4 linked regions of the Macaca fascicularis genome follow. Each later gene encodes a partner of the first gene's protein in a complex. Links are inferred from orthologs where the notes say so. Each region holds a gene or a part of one and is shown in the gene's direction. Other genes may lie near its edges.

Region 1 (4,265 bases):
TGGTAGATCTTCCTCCATCCGTTTATTTGAGCCTATGTGTGTCTCTGCACATGAGATGGGTCTCCCGAATACAGCACACTGATGGGTCTTGACTCTATCCAATTTGCCAGTCTGTGTCTTTTAATTGGGGCACTTAGTCCATTTACATTTAAGGTTAATATTGTTATGTGTGAATTTGATCCTGTCATTATGATGTTAGCTGGTTATTTTGCCTGTTAGTTGATGCAGTTTCTCCCTAGCATCGATGGTCTTTACATTTTGGCATGTTTTTGCAGTGGCTGGTACCGGTTGTTCCTTTCCGTGTTTAGTGCTTCCTTCAGGAGTTCTTGTAAGGCAGGCCTGGTGGTGACAAAATCTTTCAGCATTTGCTTGTCTGTAAAGGATTTTATTTCTCCTTCACTTGTGAAGCTTAGTTTGGCTGGATATGAAATTCTGGGTTGAAAATTCTTTTCTTTAAGAATGTTGAATATTGGCCCCCACTCTTTTCTGGCTTGTAGAGTTTCTGCTGAGAGATTCGCTGTTAGTCTGATGGGCTTCCCTTTTTGGGTAACCTGACCTTTCTCTCTGGCTGCCCTTAACGTTTTTTCCTTCATTTCAGCCTTGGTGAATCTGACAATTATGTGTCTTGGAGTTGCTCTTCTCAAGGGGTGGTGTTCTCTGTATTTCCTGAATTCTCCCTGTCACTTTCAGGCACACTAATCAAACGTAGACTTTTCACATAGTCCCATATTTCTTGGAGGCTTTGTTTGTTTCTTTTTACTCTTTTTTTCTCTAAACTTCTCTTCTCACTTTATTTCATTAATTTGATCTTCAATCACTGATACTCTTTCTTCCACTTGATCGAATCGGCTACTGAAGCTTGTGCATGCATCACATAGTTCTCGTGCCGTGGTTTTCAGCTCCATCAGGTCTTTTAAGGTCTTCTCTGCACTGTTTATTCTAGTTAACCATTTGTCTAATCTTTTTTCAAGGTTTTTAGCTTCCTTGCGATGGGTTCGAACATCCTCCTTTAGCTCAGAGAAGTTTGTTATTACCGACCTTCTGAAGCCTACTTCTGTCAGCTCGTCAAAGTCATTCTCCATCCAGCTTTGTTCCGTTGCTGGCGAGGAGCTGCAATCCTTTGAAGGAGAGGAGGTGCTCTGGTTTTTAGAATTTTCAGCTTTTCTGCTCTGGTTTCTCCCCATCTTTGTGGTTTTATCTACCTTTGGTCTTTGATGTTGGTGACCTACAGATGGGGTTTTGGTGTGGATGTCCTTTTTGTTGATGTTGATGCTATTCCTTTCTGTTAGTTTTCCTTCTAACAGTCTGGTCCCTCAGCTGCAGGTCTGTTGGATTTTGCTGGAGGTCCTCTCCAGACCCTGTTTGCCTGGGTATCACCAGTGGAGGCTGCAGAACAGCAAATACTGCTGCCTGATCCTTCCTCTGGAAGCTTTGTCCCAGAGGGGCACCCACCTGTATGAGGTGTCAGTTGGCCCCTGCTGGGAGGCGTCTCACAGTTAGGCTACATGGGGGTCAGGGACCCACTTGAGGAGGCAGTCTGTCTGTCCTGAGCTCAAATGCTATGCTGGGAGAACCACTGCTTTCTTCAGAGCTGTCGGACAGGGACGTTTAAGTCTGCAGAAGTTTCTGCTGTCTTTTGTTCAGCTACGCACTGCCCCCAGAGGTGGAGTTTACAGAGGCAGCAAGTCTTGCTGAGCTGCGGTGGGCTCTGCCCAGTTCAAGCTTCCTAGCTGCTTTGTTTACCTACTTAAGCCTCAGCAATAGCAGACGCCCCTCCAGCTGCTAGGCTGCTGCCTCACAGGTTGATCTCAGACTGCTGCACGAGCAGTGAGCAAGGCTCTATGGGCGAGGGACCAGCTGAGCCAGGCTCAGGATATAATCTCCTGGTGTGCTGTTTGGTAAGACCGTTGGAAAAGTGCAGTATTTGGGCGGGAGTGTCCTTATTTTACAGGTGTAGTCTGTCACAGCTTCCCCTGGCTAGGAAAGGGAAATCCCTTCCCAGGTGAGACAATGCCCCACCCTGATTCGGCTTGCCCTCCGTGGGCTGCACCCACTGTCCAACCAGTCCCAATGAGATGAACTAGGTACCTCAGTTGGAAATGCAAATATCACCTGTCTCTGCATCGATCATGCTGGGAGCTGCAGACCAGAGCTGTTCCTATTTGGCCGTTTTGGAATGGAAGGCTTTACTATTTTAAAATAAGGGAAATTGCTTGGTAAACTCTTCTCCTACAGTACATATAGTATTGCAAGCTACATTATAAAGTCTAGTGTCGGCCGGGCGCGGTGGCTCAAGCCTGTAATCCCAGCACTTTGGGAGGCCGAGACGGGCGGATCACGAGGTCAGGAGATCGAGACCATCCTGGTTAACACGGTGAAACCCCGTCTGTACTAAAAAATACAAAAAATTAGCCAGGCGCGGTGGTGGGCGCCTGTAGTCCCAGCTACTCGAGAGGCTGAGGCAGGAGAATGGCGTGAACCCGGGAGGCGGAGCTTGCAGTGAGCTGAGATCCGGCCACTGCACTCCAGCCCAGGCGACAGAGCGAGACTCTGTCTCAAAAAAAAAAAAAAAAAAACAACAACAACAACAAAAAAAGTCTAGTGTCTTATGTTGGGTGGAAGTCGGGGATTATTTGTTTTCTTTAGTTTGTTTTAGAAATATGTTCAGAGCCGGGCGCGGTGGCTCAAGCCTGTAATCCCAGCACTTTGGGAGGCCGAGACGGGCGGATCACGAGGTCAGGAGATCAAGACCATCCTGGCTAACACAGTGAAACCCCATCTCTACTAAAAAATACAAAAAACTAGCCGGGCGAGGTGGCGGGCGCCTGTAGTCCCAGCTACTCGGGAGGCTGAGGCAGGAGAATGGCGTAAACCCGGGAGGCGGAGCTTGCAGTGAGCTGAGATCCGGCCACTGCACTCCAGCCTGGGCAACAGAGCGAAACTCTGTCTCAAAAAAAAAAAAAAAAAAAAAAGAAATATGTTCAGAATATCTCCTTGTATGCTTTTGTTTGCCTTGACCATGGTAAGAAGGTGGAGTGGTGCCCCATCTGGAGTGAAGAAACTTCGAGCAGAGAGTTGAAGGACCAGCTCCTAGCACCACCTGTGGCCCTTGTGTGGTGGCCGTGGACAGTGTGAACATGTTTTCCTTTGTGCAGTTAAGGAGTTACCAAATTCTTCTAGGTTTCCTTCCAGCTCAGGGTCCTGTTTTAAGCCTAACCATATATATTTGTTATTTGGGGAGATGTTCAGGGGTTAGTGTGTGCCTTTCTTGGTTACCATCTAAAGAGAAATTCTTTTTTCTTTTTCCCTTCTAGCTATTGTACACACGTGACAACCTATGAAGAATCAAATTATTCTCTGAGTTATCAGTTTATACTAAATCTCTTCTCCTTCCTGCTCAGAATAAAGACTTCCCTTCTCCATGAAGAAGTGAGCTTAGTTGAGAAGAAACTTTTCGAGAAAAAATATAGTGTAACAAAAAAGAAATCAAGATCCAAGAAAGCGAGACGACATTGAGAAAATGAAATAGAAACTTTCTGGAAAAATATTTTAGTATTGATATAACATCAGATTTTAATATAACATTCCAGAGAATTGTGGAAAATACTGCATATATATGTATATGCTCTGACACATATTTACATATATGTCAAGTGTGCTTAGAAAATTGTATATTATAAAGCAGGTGAGCTTTGTTTGATTTTATTTTTCAGAGTATGAATATTCTAAGAGAAAGTTAAAACAACAGTAAATTATATGATTGTATTTATTTATTTATTTATTTATTTATTTATTTTTTTGAGACAGAGTCTTGCTCTGTTGCCCAGGCTGGAGTACAGTGACACGATCTTGGCTTACTGCAAGCTCCACTTCCCAGGTTCATGCCATTCTCCTGCCTTAGCCTCCCAAGTAGCTGGGACTACAGGTGCCCGCCACCACGCTAATTTTTTTGTTTGTTTTTAGTAGAGATGGGGTTTCACCATGTTAGCCAGGATGGTCTTGATTTCCTGACCTCGTGATCCATCCACCTCGGCCTCCCAAAGTGCTGGGATTATAGGTGTGAGCCACCGTGCCCAGCCAGTAAATTGTATAGTTGTATCCAGAAATGTATACTCGTTGTATTTTAAAGCTAAATTTATTTTTTAAAGTAGATCTCTTCCTTATTCTTTACACCCCAGAGTAAATCCCAGATGGATCAAAGATCTAAACGTAATCTTTCATATTTAAAAATATAAAAGTATTAGTAGAAAACAAATATGAATGTT
Region 2 (4,128 bases), on another chromosome or scaffold:
TAGCCAGGATGGTCTTGATCTCCTGACCTCATGATCCGCCCATCTCGGCCTCCCAAAGTGCTGGGATTACAGGCTTGAGCCACCGCGCCTGGCCAATTTTTGTAGTTTTTAGTAGAGACAGGGTTTCACCATCTTGGCCAGGCTGGTCTCGAACTCCTGACCTCATGATCCACCCACCTTGGCCTCCCAAAGTGCTGGGATTACAGGCATGAGCCACTGCGCCTGTCCTATTTATTTATTTATTTATTTATTTATTTATTTATTTATTGAGACAGAGTCTCACTCTGTGGCCCAGGCTGGAATGCAGTGGCGCGATCTCGGCTCACTGCAACCTCCCCCTTCCAGGTTCACGAGATTCTCCTGCGTCAGCCTCCCGAGTAGCTGAGACTACGGGCACCTGGCCCAGCTAATTTTTTGTATTTTTAGTAGAGATGGGGTTTCACCGTGTTAGCCAGGATGGTCTCGATCTCCTGATCTCGTGATCTGCCCACCTCAGCCTCCCAAAGTGCTCGGATTACAGGCATGAGCCACTGCGCCCAGTAACGTTATTTTACTAAATCCTGTCTCTGAATGCAAGGGATACCTGGCCTGTTTTTATTCACCATCACTGTAGGTTGCTGAGTAAATGCTGAATTAATGAATGCGTCACTGAGTCAGTGACTGATTGCCTTCACACAGCGAGTGCTGGGCTGGGATCCTCCGTGAATCTGGGGAGGTGAGGTTTGCAAAGACAGGACGGATCTGGGGTGGGGAGATACCCAGGCTAGGCTGGCACTCAGGGGAGAGGACAGAGGTGAAGGGACTTAAAAAGCACCTAGAGATATGCCTAGCTCTACCTAAGACTCTCAGTTAACCGCCTAAAGTAGGGACACTTTTTGCCATTGCACAGGTAGGGAAACTGAGGCCCAAGGGCATTAACCCTGACCTGGCCTGGAGCCAACAGAGGAAACCCTGTACAGTTTGATGCACAAATATGTATAGAGTTCCCACTAGGCTCCCCGACCGTCCCTAGGAGCCGAGCTGCCCCTTTACCCATTCCAGGCCTCAGTTTCCCCGCCCACACTTCGCCCCCGCCTTATGGGATTCTAAACTGTCCCCGCAACGTGGGAGTTGAACGGAAACTACAACTCCCAAGAGGCCGTGCAGCCAAAGACACACGAGAACTACGGAGGGAGAGTCTCGCGCAGCAAACTGCCGTTCTCGCAAGGCTCGGGCTGCCCTTGGCGCTGCCGATCCCGGAAGTTGCTGCATTCAGGCGTTCGCCGACGACAGCCCATCGCGGGGCGGGGTTACGTGGAGGGGGCCTGATTGGGAGTCGGCGCAGGCGCAGTCCGCGCGGGTTCTCGCAGGCAAAACGGGTGCGAGTGGCGGCGATGGACGACGAGGAGGAGACGTACCGGCTCTGGAAAATCCGCAAGACCATCATGCAGGTGAGCCGCGCGTGGTGTTGGGGGCGGGGGCGCGAGCAGCAGGTGCAGGGGCCCGAGGGGAGGTCGAGCTCGGCGTCTCCTCGTACTCCCGTCGCAGCAGCAGCAGCGACGGAGGGCCCGGCCGACACGGGAGACCCCGAGGCCGCCGGGGATCCCAGGCGCTGGGCCCGACCTGAGCCGGCAGCGGGGAAGGGAGGGGGTTTCGAGACGTCTGGGTGCGGGGCTTAGCGGTGGGCGGGCGGCTTGGGCTGGTGCGGCGCACATGGCGGCGAGAGGAGGAAGGTGCGAATGGGGACGGGGGGCGCCCCCAGACCCTGCCCCACTCTGTGATTCAGCGTCGCCATTTGTCCTTGCGCCCTGAACCCCAGGGCGTCTCAGCATCCGAGGCTGGCGGAGTTGGTGGTTGGGAAGCAGCAGGCGAGCTGGGGCTTTCGATGGGGACGTGGAGCCCGGAACCCGTGCCTCGGGGTCTGAGACAGATGGAGGCCACTGGGCCGACTCCGGTTTGGAAACTGGGCAAATGTCTGAGGGCCTGCGGTTCAGGGTCCTCCCTCAGCCGTTGGGGCCGTTTGGGAGCTTTTGTTTTGTCTTGCTTCCCCACCCTATGCCCTTGTCTTTAGCGCAGCCCCCCGCAGCCTGATTCTCCTTCCTCCGGGCCGCAAACATTGTCAGCCTGAAGTCACATCTGTTTCGGTCCCTGTCTTTTTTTTTTTTTTTTTTAAGAGACAAGCTCTCACTCTGTCGCCCAGGCTGCAGCGCAGTGGTGCAGTCATAGCTCACTGCATCCTTGAACTCCTGGCCTCAAGCAGCCCTCCTGCCTCGGCCTCCCTGAGCTCTGGGGTCGCGGACGTGACCCCCCACGCCCCGTCTTTGTCCCTGTCTTTAGGGTAGCTCTGCAAAGTGGTTTGGAGGGCTTTGCCCCCTGCCAGGTTCCTGTGAGGCTGGATAGACGGACGGTCTTGGTCAAGGCTGGACACCTCTGCGAGCCTCTCGGGATCACGCTGGTCCCATCCTGTGGTGTGGGGCTGTGGGGGCCAGGATGGCTGTCATGGGGCACACAGCGAGTGTTCATTCCGTTTGCTGTTCACCTCTGTCCTCTGCAGCAGCCGCAGGTCTGACTTCTGGGTCACGAGCTCTGGCCGCCTTCCTGTCTCTGCCCTGGGGTCAGCTGGTTCTTTCTCTCTGCAGCTGTGCCACGACCGTGGCTACCTAGTGACCCAGGACGAGCTTGACCAGACACTGGAGGAGTTCAAAGCCCAATTTGGAGACAAGCCGAGTGAGGGGCGGCCGCGGCGCACTGACCTCACCGTGCTGGTGGCCCACAACGATGACCCCACCGACCAGATGTTTGTGTTCTTTCCAGGTGAGCAGCGGGTCCCCGGGGGAGTTCTGGTGGAGCCGCCCGAGCACCTGCTGAGGAGCCGGCCGCTAGCACCCCCTCCCTCCCGCCTCGTGCCCAGCGTTTGATCCTCTGCCCAATCTGGGAGGAAAACTTCCCCTCCTCTTCCTTGCTGTGGGCGATGCCGTGGACCTCTGACCCCTCTCATGCGCAGCCTCTTTCTGGTTTCCCTCTCATCGGTCCCCTTTCTTCCTGCCAACCAGGAGAGTCCCATGGACCTCCCTACTCACCCGCAGCCCCTCATGACCTTTGCCCTACCTGTGTTCCTTGGCTCCCTCATCCTGGCCGTTGGGTGCACTTCCAACTTCTTGGCCTGGCCCAGGAGGCCCCGTGTGGGTCAGCGCAGCCTCCTTGTGAGCTGTGGCCCCTGTCTGCCCCAGCCCATTCCTCTGCACCCCATGCCGCCTCTGCCCTGTCAGCGTCCGCTACTCATCCCTCGAGGTTGTGCTCAGGCCGCTTTTCCCGGGACCCCTGGGACCCTCGGTTTCAGCACCTGCACCGTGGAAGTCTCCCCACCTGTCTGCCCCCCCAGGATGGCTCTAGCGCCCTCAGTGGTTGGGGGACTACCAGCGCCTAGGGACACAGCCGCGTGCCCAGAATTAATCAGTGGGGTGGACGGAGCGTGTCTGCCAAGCGGGTGATGCTACTGCTTTTTTTTTTTTTGAAAGTCTCATTCTGTCACCCAGGCTGAAGTGCAGTGGTGCCATTTCGGCTCGCTGCAGCCTCCACCTCCTGAGTTCAAAATTCTCCTGCCTCAGCTTCCTGAGTAGCTGAGACTGCAGGCACCCACCACCATACCTGGCTTTTTTTTTTTTTTTTTTGTATTTTTGGTAGAGAGGGGGTTTCACCATGTTGGCCAGGCTGCTTTCAAACTCCTGACTTCAGGTGATCTGCCTGCCTCGGCCTCCCAAAGTGCTGGGATTACAGGCGTGAGCCACCGCGCCCGGTCTTCTTCTTGTTCTTTTTTTTTTGAGGCTGAGTCTCTCTCTCTGTCGCCCAGGCTGGAGTGCAGTGGCGCAATCTCGGCTCACTGCAACCTCCACCTCCTGGGTTGAAGCAATCCTCCCACCTCAGCCTCCCACAAAAAGCTAGGTTTACAGGCATACACCATCTCACCTGGCTACTTTTACTTTTTTTAGTAGTGTTTATTTATTTGTTTATTTGGTTTTTTGAGACGGAGTCTCGCTCTGTCGCCCAGGTTAGAGTGCAATGGCACAATCTTGGCTCACTGCACGCTCCTTCTCCCGGGTTCACACCATTCTCCTGCCTTAGTCTCCAGAGTAGCTGGGACTACAGGTG
Region 3 (4,238 bases), on another chromosome or scaffold:
ACTTTTCCCCTTCTTTTTGGACAAGGGACGCTGCATTTACATTTTGCATTGAGCCTCACAAATTACAGAGCTAGGCTTGCTGCTGAATATGGCAGTGAGGGACATGCCATACCAGTCCTGGAGCTTAGTCACTGCCCAGCCCCTGTGGATCAAATGCAGTGTCAGACTTTTTATCCCCGAAATTGTCCAATCTATGGAGCAAAGGAGGGTAAAGAGACCAGATTACTTTTAAGGCACGCGCTATCCTAAAATGATGTAAACTATAAAATAAGATTAGACAGCTTTACTGGTTTTTGCGGTGTATCATATGAAAACAGAAGTTTGAAACCAGAAAAATCAAACCAGTTCAATCCTTTTAAAAATTTCTTTGGGAGGCCGGTGGCTCACGCCTGTAATCCCAGCACTTTGGGAGGCCGAGGCGGGTGGATCACCTGAGGTCAGGAGTTCGAGACCAGCCTGACCAACATGGAGAAACCCCGTGTCTCCTAAAAGTACAAAAAAATTAGCAGGGCATGGTGGCACATGCCTGTAATCTCAGCTACTTGGGAGGCTGAGGCAGGAGAATCGCTTGAACCCGGGAAGCGGAGCTTGCGGTGAGCCAAGATCGCGCCATTGCACTCCAGCCTGGGCAACAAGAGCGAAACTCGGTCTCAAAAAAACCCCAAAAAACCGAAAAACAAAAAAAAAAAACAAAAAACTTTCGAAGAAAAAAACCCCACCAAAACTAAACTAGTTTACACAGCTTAATCTTAACTCAGGAACTGGTCAAGGAACTAATGGTGGGGGGCGGGGGGGATGTAGGAGGAAACTGAGGAAAAAGAAATCCTCCACAGGTCTCACTTGTGACGTGTTAGCCAATTCCTGGGAGGCAGAAAGGGTGAGCTCCCGAAACAGGTGCAAAGGTGGGGAGGAGACCTGGGCGTGCTACGGCATAACACTGGCGTCCAGCACAAAGGTTACAAACTTCGAGTAACCTTCCCGAATATTTTCACACACAAGGGTTTTGAAGGCAAAAGTAGACACAGGATGACAAAACACTCATTCACACATCCCACCCGTCACCCTCACCACATACTCGGGACCAGGTTTAGAAAGCCGGGAGACAGCTCAGCAAACGCGAGACCACCGGAAACGACCCGGGCTGAGAGGCTGTTTCCTCGCAGTTCTCATCCACTCACAATTGGCCGCACATTTTCTTTTTGTTATTTGCCGAAATGTTCTTGGCTATTCCACTTACCGAATCGGTCACGCAAGCAAAACACCAGAATCCCGATCTCCGCCTACGCCAACCCCGCCTCCTCAGAGTAAGCGAGCTACAGCTCCGCCCACGTTAGTCGCTCCTCCCTGCGCGGCGAGAAAAATGGCGCCCCCGCGTCGCGACTCCTCCCACCGCTCGCCTTCTTCCCGGGAGCTAAATTGTATCGCGAGATTTCTGCCTGACTATTACTTGGGCCGCGGGGATATCCCACCCTTTTCTTCCGCGCGGTTGGAGGACATCGGCTAGTTTTCCGGAGTTGGAGGACTGAAATCGGGAGGGTGGTGTGTGCAAATCTCCAGGACTCACGCACCAGGCCAGTCGCAGGTTTTGGCCCGAGGCCTGGGTTACGGGCAGCAAGTGCGCGGTTGGGGCCGGTGTGAGGCGGTTTTAGGTAGGTTGCCAAGAGGGCAAGGCCGTCTGGGCTTGTTGGGCAGGGGAGGCATTGCATATCTGGGGTTTCGGCCCCTGCGTTGTTCCGGAGGATTGAGCCTCGGAAGTCGGGCCGAGAGGGTGAAGGGATCACGGTTGCAGGCCACTCCGCGCCACGCGGCTGGTATGAGGCCCACAAACGTGGTTGTAGTGTGGGCGGGCTTCATTATATCTTGAGATGGAGGTGTTAAAACGTGTTGCAGACAAGTTTAACCTTCTTAACGTAATTTAAATGATTTAACCTTCATATGTGAGGTACCCATTGATAGCGCCGGTTTCCTGGAGGTTAGGCGCTGCCCGGAGAGACGCGCTGGTGGTCACAGAATTAGCTCCGGGTAAAGCGCCGCTTTCTGCCCACGTGGCCTCTAAGAATTGCAGAATTCCAGCGGATGCATCGACACCCAAGTAGGAGTGTCTTCTAAACACTAAGAAAAAAGTGATTCTTGAGCTAGCTTTATTTTGATAATCCCTACTTTAAAAAAAAATTAACCACAGGTATACCATTAATGCATGGGGCCAAATTTTTGTTGAATTCCGTTTTTGAGCATTCGATATATAATGACTTCGTAGAATCCTGTACTTAAGCTAATAAGACGTACTACCAGAAAATTACCACAGGGGTCCATTGGGCATTTAACAAATCTGAGCTCTTGGTAACCTTATCGTTTTATATTTTAAATGTTTTGCTAGTTCATCCTAGGATTTATATGCAATGACTCATGTTAGGTCCCAAGAAGCTACAGAATGAGACAAGAGATTGACTAAGGCAAGTACAATAGTGAAATAAGTAGTTATCCTTCATTTTTGTTGCCATGCCTATTTTTTTTTTTTTTTTTTTTTTTTTCTGAGACAGGGTCTTGTTCTGTCGTCCAGGCTGGGGTGCAGTGGTGCAATCTCGGCTCACTGCAACCTCCACCTCTGCTCAAGCGATCCTCCCGAGTGGCTGGGAGCACAGGCACGGGTCACCACACCTAGCCAGTATCTTAAGAATTTTTTGTAGAGACAAGGGTCTCCTTGTGTGCTGAGGCTCACTACATACAACTTCCACCTCCCAGGCTCAGGTATTCACCTACCTCAGCCTCCTGACCACAGGCGCGCGCCACTAGCCCGGCTAATTTTTGTATTTTTTGTAGAGACGGAGTTTCACCACGTTGCCCAGGTTGGTCTTGAGCTCCTGGGCTCGAGCGATCCGCCCGCCTCGACCTCCCAAAGTGCTGTGTTACACAGGCCTGAGCCACCCAGACCAACCTGTTTTTTCTTTTAGCTCACAAGAAGGAATCTTTTTTTTCTTCTTTTTTTGGCATGTTGTATACTCTACCATGGGGATGAAAACACAAAGAATTATGATAGTTTATTGAAAAAGGTTGAGAATTCAGAACTTGTCAGTTTCCACCAATAATGGCAAAGATACAGTATGACAAAGTTCAGTTACTTAAATGAATCTAGGAATGAAGAATCTAGGAATTATAATGGAGAGGTGATCAGGGTCTGTTGATTGGAGATCCTTTTCCTGGTTTATATAGGGCACATTTTGCCTTAGGAATTCCCTCTTTGATCTTGGAAAATGGTTTTTAATTTTACATTAATACTGTATTGGTAATTGCACGTTAGTAAGTGGCTAATGATAAAACTGTATTTTCTACTTATATTGAAAGATGCTTTTTTTGGAAGTGACAGTACTTTTTTGGAATCTTGTTCCATTGAATACATTTAGAGGGTAAAAACTGAAAGAACCTGTGAATAGAATTTCTGGATTTCTTTTTAAAGAAATTGATCTGAAATGGATAAGAAGGTTAACCCCGGCAAATGATTTTGCCTAAAATCAGTGGCATAGTCTGACCATGTTGAATATTATAGTAGATACTGTGTCAATATTTAGGGAAGCTTTGTCACATTTACTAAATTTCATAATTTCAGAAAACTGTTATAAAACAAAGCAATTGATGGATAAATCAGGAATAGATTCTACCGACCATGTGACATCTGATGCTATGGAACTTGCAAATCAAAGGTAAGTGGGTTTTTACTGGAGAACTGAGTGGATTCAATCATATTTATTGTATCTGAATTATGAGAAATTATTTTATATAATGAGTGACAGTAAAGATGATTTTCAGGAATTGGGAAAGAAGGAAAACCAGATTTCACTGACCTTCCAGGTTTATCTAGTTAATGTAGATTGATAATAGCATTGCAAATACTTTAAATTCAAAATGTGAATATATTATAATGGGACACATTCTTCAAGAAAAAAATGTATTCTTTGGGTCATATTAGCATCTCTTCCAGACTACCTCTTCCTGTTTCTGTCTGGTAGGCTGTGTTTGTTTTACTCACTCTTAGCAGTGAACCAAACCATACAGCCTTTGTGGAGCTCATACACCATACAGCCTTTGTGGAGCCATACGTTATCTTAAAAGATACATAGTTTTTTGCTAAGCTGAGCACAGTGGTGCATGCCATTAGTCCTAGCTAGCTACTTGGGAGGCTGAGTCAGGAGCATCCCTGGAGTTCCAGGAGTTTGAGGTTGCAGTGAGCTGTGATTGCACCA
Region 4 (4,208 bases), on another chromosome or scaffold:
CCGGCCTGCCACATCTGAAGTAAGGAAGATGGGCATAGGTATTGTGGGACTGTTGGTTCTAGACCCTGTTGCCTATTTTCCGCTTGATTTCTACATGGTTCTAACTGGACAACCTGGGGCAAACATCACCAACACCAACTCCAGAACATGGGACATACCTAGGTATACCTTTCCACCTGCAGAAGATTCAATCATGCTTACCTGATCTGCCACCTGCCGGCTCAGCTGTCCCTTAAAGCCTTTCATGCCCAGGAACTCTCCATCCTCTTCTTCAGCAGCAGCTGCATCAGCTGCATCAGCGTCTACTTCTTCCTCGCGCAGGCGCTGATGCAGCTCACCCATATCCTCGAAGCTAGAGCCTGAGGTATCATCCATGTTCTCCATGTCAATCACAGCTGAGCCTCCGCCCTGTGAAGACAATGGCTCCTAGAGTGCAGGACTTTTCTGTTCCATCCATTAAGTCCTCTGCTCATCCCAGGGTTTAGGGCTTTGTTCTTCCACTGCTGAGGATACGGCTCGGAATCACTACAGATCATGCCACTCCATTCCCCCTCATATGCTCTCAGAACTCTTGGTTTCTAGCTTTGGCTGAATTTTCTAGCCTGGGAAACATACTACTAGTCTTCCATTCCTGTCTTTTTCCTACCTTACCTACCAAAGACTAAAAGGCTGAAAAAGTGCCCATTTCCTTCTTTCCTAAGCCCCAAACAAAACTATACACATAATATGTTTTCAGCGAATGCCAGTGAATCCCCACCCAACCCCACTCCATGCCTGACCCCGACCAACTTCCTAACTTGTTCCAAGAATACCTTCTTCCTAATGCCTCGAGCGGGCCCAGAGACCCGAGACCCTCAGGCTGGAGTACTAGTCTGGCCCTTTCAGGTCAATGTTAATCCTACTGACTTTAGTGTGCACGAAGACCCAAAGAAGAGAGTTTTGCAAATGGAGCGGACTTCCAGGCCCACAGGGAGAATCCTCAAGACACTTCTGGACATCGCTGGCCCTCGGGTTGCTGGCAGCTAGTGCCTTGGGGCCATTACCTGGATGTTTTCTTCGAACCCTCCCCATTCCGGGCCAGCTCCATTTCGGGCGCCGCCCGCCGGCGCCGCTGTAGTTGCCATGTCCCTTGAAGGCTCCCGTCGCTGAAGCCCGCGCTAGCCCCGCGCGCGGAGGAGTGGGCGAGACGTGGGCCTTAGTGAGGGAGACGTCCCGGGTCGAGGAGAGGTGGGATCGGCCGGAACACAAAAAAGAGAAGCCCGGATGTTTGGACAAAACCAACTTCCGGAGGCTGGGGACGTGGACGGAAGCGGGGAAAAGTCTCGCGATATTTAAGATTCCAGGCGGTGGCGCGTTGCCACGGAGACGGAGCCAGTCTACTAGGACGCACGCGCCAGATAGAGCCTCCAGTCTCGTGGAGAGATTGAAGATGGCGGCTTCTCAGGCGGTGGAGGAGATGCGGGGCCGCGTGGTTCTAGGGGAGTTTGGGGTTCGCAATGTAAGCCTTGTGGCCTTGAGCTCGGGCGGGAGGAATGAGAGCGGAACAGGGGTGGGTCTTGGGATTGGCGTGGGGATAGCCGTGGGCTCATTGTCCCTTTGTGGACAAACTCGTCCCTTTGCTCTAGGTCCATACCACTGACTTTCCCGGAAACTATTCCGGTTATGATGATGCCTGGGACCAGGACCGCTTCGAGAAGGTAAGTGGGGCCGAAGTTGTCTGGGGAGGGTTATGAAGGCCAGACCCTGTGGCCTGAGCAGCCTGTGTCTGTCTCAGCAGCTGCTTTTGGGGGTCGCTCCGTTTGTGTTTGTTGAGCAATGTGCTAGACGCTCCGTTTACAGGCCAAATTAGACACGGTTTCTATCTCTGCAGAGATATTCCGTCTTGTTGAGGAATGGTGCGTATAAACAAGTGCATCTAGTGTAATATGGTGAAGGTGGTTGATAGCGATGAAGACGGCAGGGTTGGGGTGGGGAGCATTCCGCTGAGACCAGGAAGAGGGGCCGAGAGGTACTTAACATTTCAAGAGGAGGGGACACCTGAATTGAACCTTGAATGGTAAGTAAAAAAAAAAACAGGAGTTGAATTATGAAAGATTTGAGTTTCACGTCAGTGAAGTTCAGGATATGCAGGTTTTGTGTGTATTTAGTCTTTTGTATTATTGTTTCACTTAGCTTAAAATAAGGGTTAAAATTGCATTTAAATAGATTACTGAATGTTACCCTTTATGCAACTGACCTAAATGTTACCCTTTATGCAGCTTATAAACATGATGTGTAAATCAGTGCCTGGGAAAATTTTACTTTTTTAACCTGTTGATACAAGGAATAAAGTATGAACAATGAAAAAGGCTAATGCTTGAAAAAAAATTATGACTTCTGTGACATGTGCTCCGGGAATGTCCAAGTAGTTCTGGCATGAGTGGTCGGCAAGATTGAAGTGTGTCACACTGTGGATGATAGGGAGCTTGAATAGTTTCTTAAGCAGACATGATCAGATTTGCAACCTTGATGGCTGGGAGGGAATGAGTTTGAGGAGGATCATATGGAGCAGGCAGATCTGTCGTAAGGGAAGCTGAGGTTGAAGATATGAACTAAGACTGATGGTAGAAATAGAGCAAAGGAAGAATATAAGGTAAATTTATGATTGCTTGGATAAAGGCTGTGGGGGTAGCATAAAATGACTTTTTCTGGCTTGGGAACTGCTTTTTGCTTTGTGGTATCATTTACTAAGAGGAGAAATGGGTCTGGGGAACAGGGATGATGATGCATTGTTTTCTGTATGTGGGGAAATCTAGCAGGCTAGAAGACTGCATGCTTGAAATGAGATCAGAAGTGAGATAAAATTTTGGGAGTTGTCAGAACAGATAGTTGCTAAAACTGTTAGTACAGTTAAGGTGACCTGGGAGAGAGACAAGAACCTGGCAAATTTAGAGATGGGTGGAAGTTGATCATCAGAGATGGAAGAAGAGTGGAGCTCAGAAACCAGGGGAATCGTTCAAAAAAGGGGATTTTTTTTTTTTTTTTCCTTTTCATGAGACACTCTTATCTCCCAGGCTGGAGTGCAGTGGTGCAATCTTGGCTCACTGCAACCTCCGCCTCCTGGGTTCAGGCAGTTCTCCTGCCTCAGCCTCCCGAGTAGCTGGGACTACAGCTACGCGCCACCATGCCCAGCTAATTTTTTGAATTTTTAGTAGAGACGGGGTTTCACCATGCTGGCCAGGCTGGTCTCAAACTCCTGACCTTGTGATCCGCCCCTCGGCCTCCCATAGTGCTGGGATTACAGGTGTGAGTCACCGTGCTGGGCCCAGAGGAGGTTTTTTAATCAATGTCAAGCATAACAGAAGTCTAGTAAGAGGACTGGGTAGTGTCAACAGGACTAAGCACTATGGTAGTTTCTGTTCTTTAGTGGAATAGCTTCTGTGGATGGTTTGGTTGGAAGCCATATTGCATAGGGTTTTAATGAATGGACGACAAAAATGGAGACTTTTTATGAAACTAAAGCACTGGGCGAGAAAGAATATTTAATAAGGGACATCTGGGCAAAGGGAGGTTTTTGGATGAGAGGATAATACTTGAGGGAATTATCTAAGGGGGAGGTATGAAGAGATATTACAGAGAGAGCAGGTTTCACTTAAATGTTTTTCCTGTCCCTCTAGAATTTCCGTGTGGATGTAGTACACATGGATGAAAACTCACTGGAGTTCGACATGGTGGGAATTGACGCAGCCATTGCCAATGCTTTTCGACGAATTCTGTTAGCTGAGGTATTGGCAGGCATGGTGACAAGGCTGGAGTTGCTTTGGGAACTGCACTGACACCTCACTTGGAGAATTGTCTCAAGCTGTCCTTCCCTCATTTTTCCTGGAATTTTGCTGAGCATTTTACCTTCTCATTCTTTGTAAATTTCTCATTAAACATTCTAGGAAGAGAGATAGCTCCTTACCTCTGGAGGGTGGGGTTGTGGGGATAGGTAGGGGGTCTGTTGGGTTTTTGCAGATAAGTGGTTATTTTTCCTTGGGCAGGTGCCAACTATGGCTGTGGAGAAGGTCCTGGTGTACAATAATACATCCATTGTTCAGGATGAGATCCTTGCTCACCGTCTGGGGCTCATTCCCATTCATGCTGATCCCCGTCTTTTTGAGTATCGGAATCAAGGTAAGAAAATGAAATTTTGGGAGAAGTGGACTGTCTGGGTTCAAATCCTGGTT

The links. The genes of interacting proteins can lie anywhere in the genome.
Region 2: TAF1B (region 1) and POLR2E share a complex: the UniProt entries of both Homo sapiens proteins name them as parts of the pol I pre-initiation complex. The link is inferred for Macaca fascicularis from reciprocal best matches to the Homo sapiens genes TAF1B and POLR2E.
Region 3: TAF1B (region 1) and TAF1D share a complex: the UniProt entries of both Homo sapiens proteins name them as parts of the transcription factor SL1/TIF-IB complex. The link is inferred for Macaca fascicularis from reciprocal best matches to the Homo sapiens genes TAF1B and TAF1D.
Region 4: TAF1B (region 1) and POLR1C share a complex: the UniProt entries of both Homo sapiens proteins name them as parts of the pol I pre-initiation complex. The link is inferred for Macaca fascicularis from reciprocal best matches to the Homo sapiens genes TAF1B and POLR1C.

Annotation. Positions count from the first base shown.
Region 1 is NC_088387.1:112,150,899-112,155,163, reverse strand, and holds the end of TAF1B (TATA box-binding protein-associated factor RNA polymerase I subunit B), read left to right. Parts: intron 1-3,314; coding exon 3,315-3,516; 3' UTR 3,517-3,765; downstream 3,766-4,265. UniProt on the Homo sapiens protein: Component of RNA polymerase I core factor complex that acts as a GTF2B/TFIIB-like factor and plays a key role in multiple steps during transcription initiation such as pre-initiation complex (PIC) assembly and postpolymerase recruitment events in polymerase I (Pol I) transcription.
Region 2 is NC_088393.1:1,665,944-1,670,071, reverse strand, and holds the start of POLR2E (DNA-directed RNA polymerases I, II, and III subunit RPABC1), read left to right. Parts: upstream 1-1,328; 5' UTR 1,329-1,373; coding exon 1,374-1,430; intron 1,431-2,618; coding exon 2,619-2,793; intron 2,794-4,128. UniProt on the Homo sapiens protein: DNA-dependent RNA polymerase catalyzes the transcription of DNA into RNA using the four ribonucleoside triphosphates as substrates.
Region 3 is NC_088388.1:92,775,366-92,779,603, reverse strand, and holds the start of TAF1D (TATA box-binding protein-associated factor RNA polymerase I subunit D), read left to right. Parts: upstream 1-1,438; 5' UTR 1,439-1,649; intron 1,650-2,377; exon of another isoform or gene 2,378-2,453; intron 2,454-3,604; 5' UTR 3,605-3,630; coding exon 3,631-3,698; intron 3,699-4,238. UniProt on the Homo sapiens protein: Component of the transcription factor SL1/TIF-IB complex, which is involved in the assembly of the PIC (preinitiation complex) during RNA polymerase I-dependent transcription.
Region 4 is NC_088378.1:128,003,812-128,008,019, reverse strand, and holds the start of POLR1C (DNA-directed RNA polymerases I and III subunit RPAC1), read left to right. Parts: upstream 1-1,408; 5' UTR 1,409-1,429; coding exon 1,430-1,498; intron 1,499-1,625; coding exon 1,626-1,697; intron 1,698-3,656; coding exon 3,657-3,764; intron 3,765-4,022; coding exon 4,023-4,155; intron 4,156-4,208. Other genes in the region: protein YIPF3, read right to left, coding at 1-14, 202-408, 1,044-1,124. UniProt on the Homo sapiens protein: DNA-dependent RNA polymerase catalyzes the transcription of DNA into RNA using the four ribonucleoside triphosphates as substrates.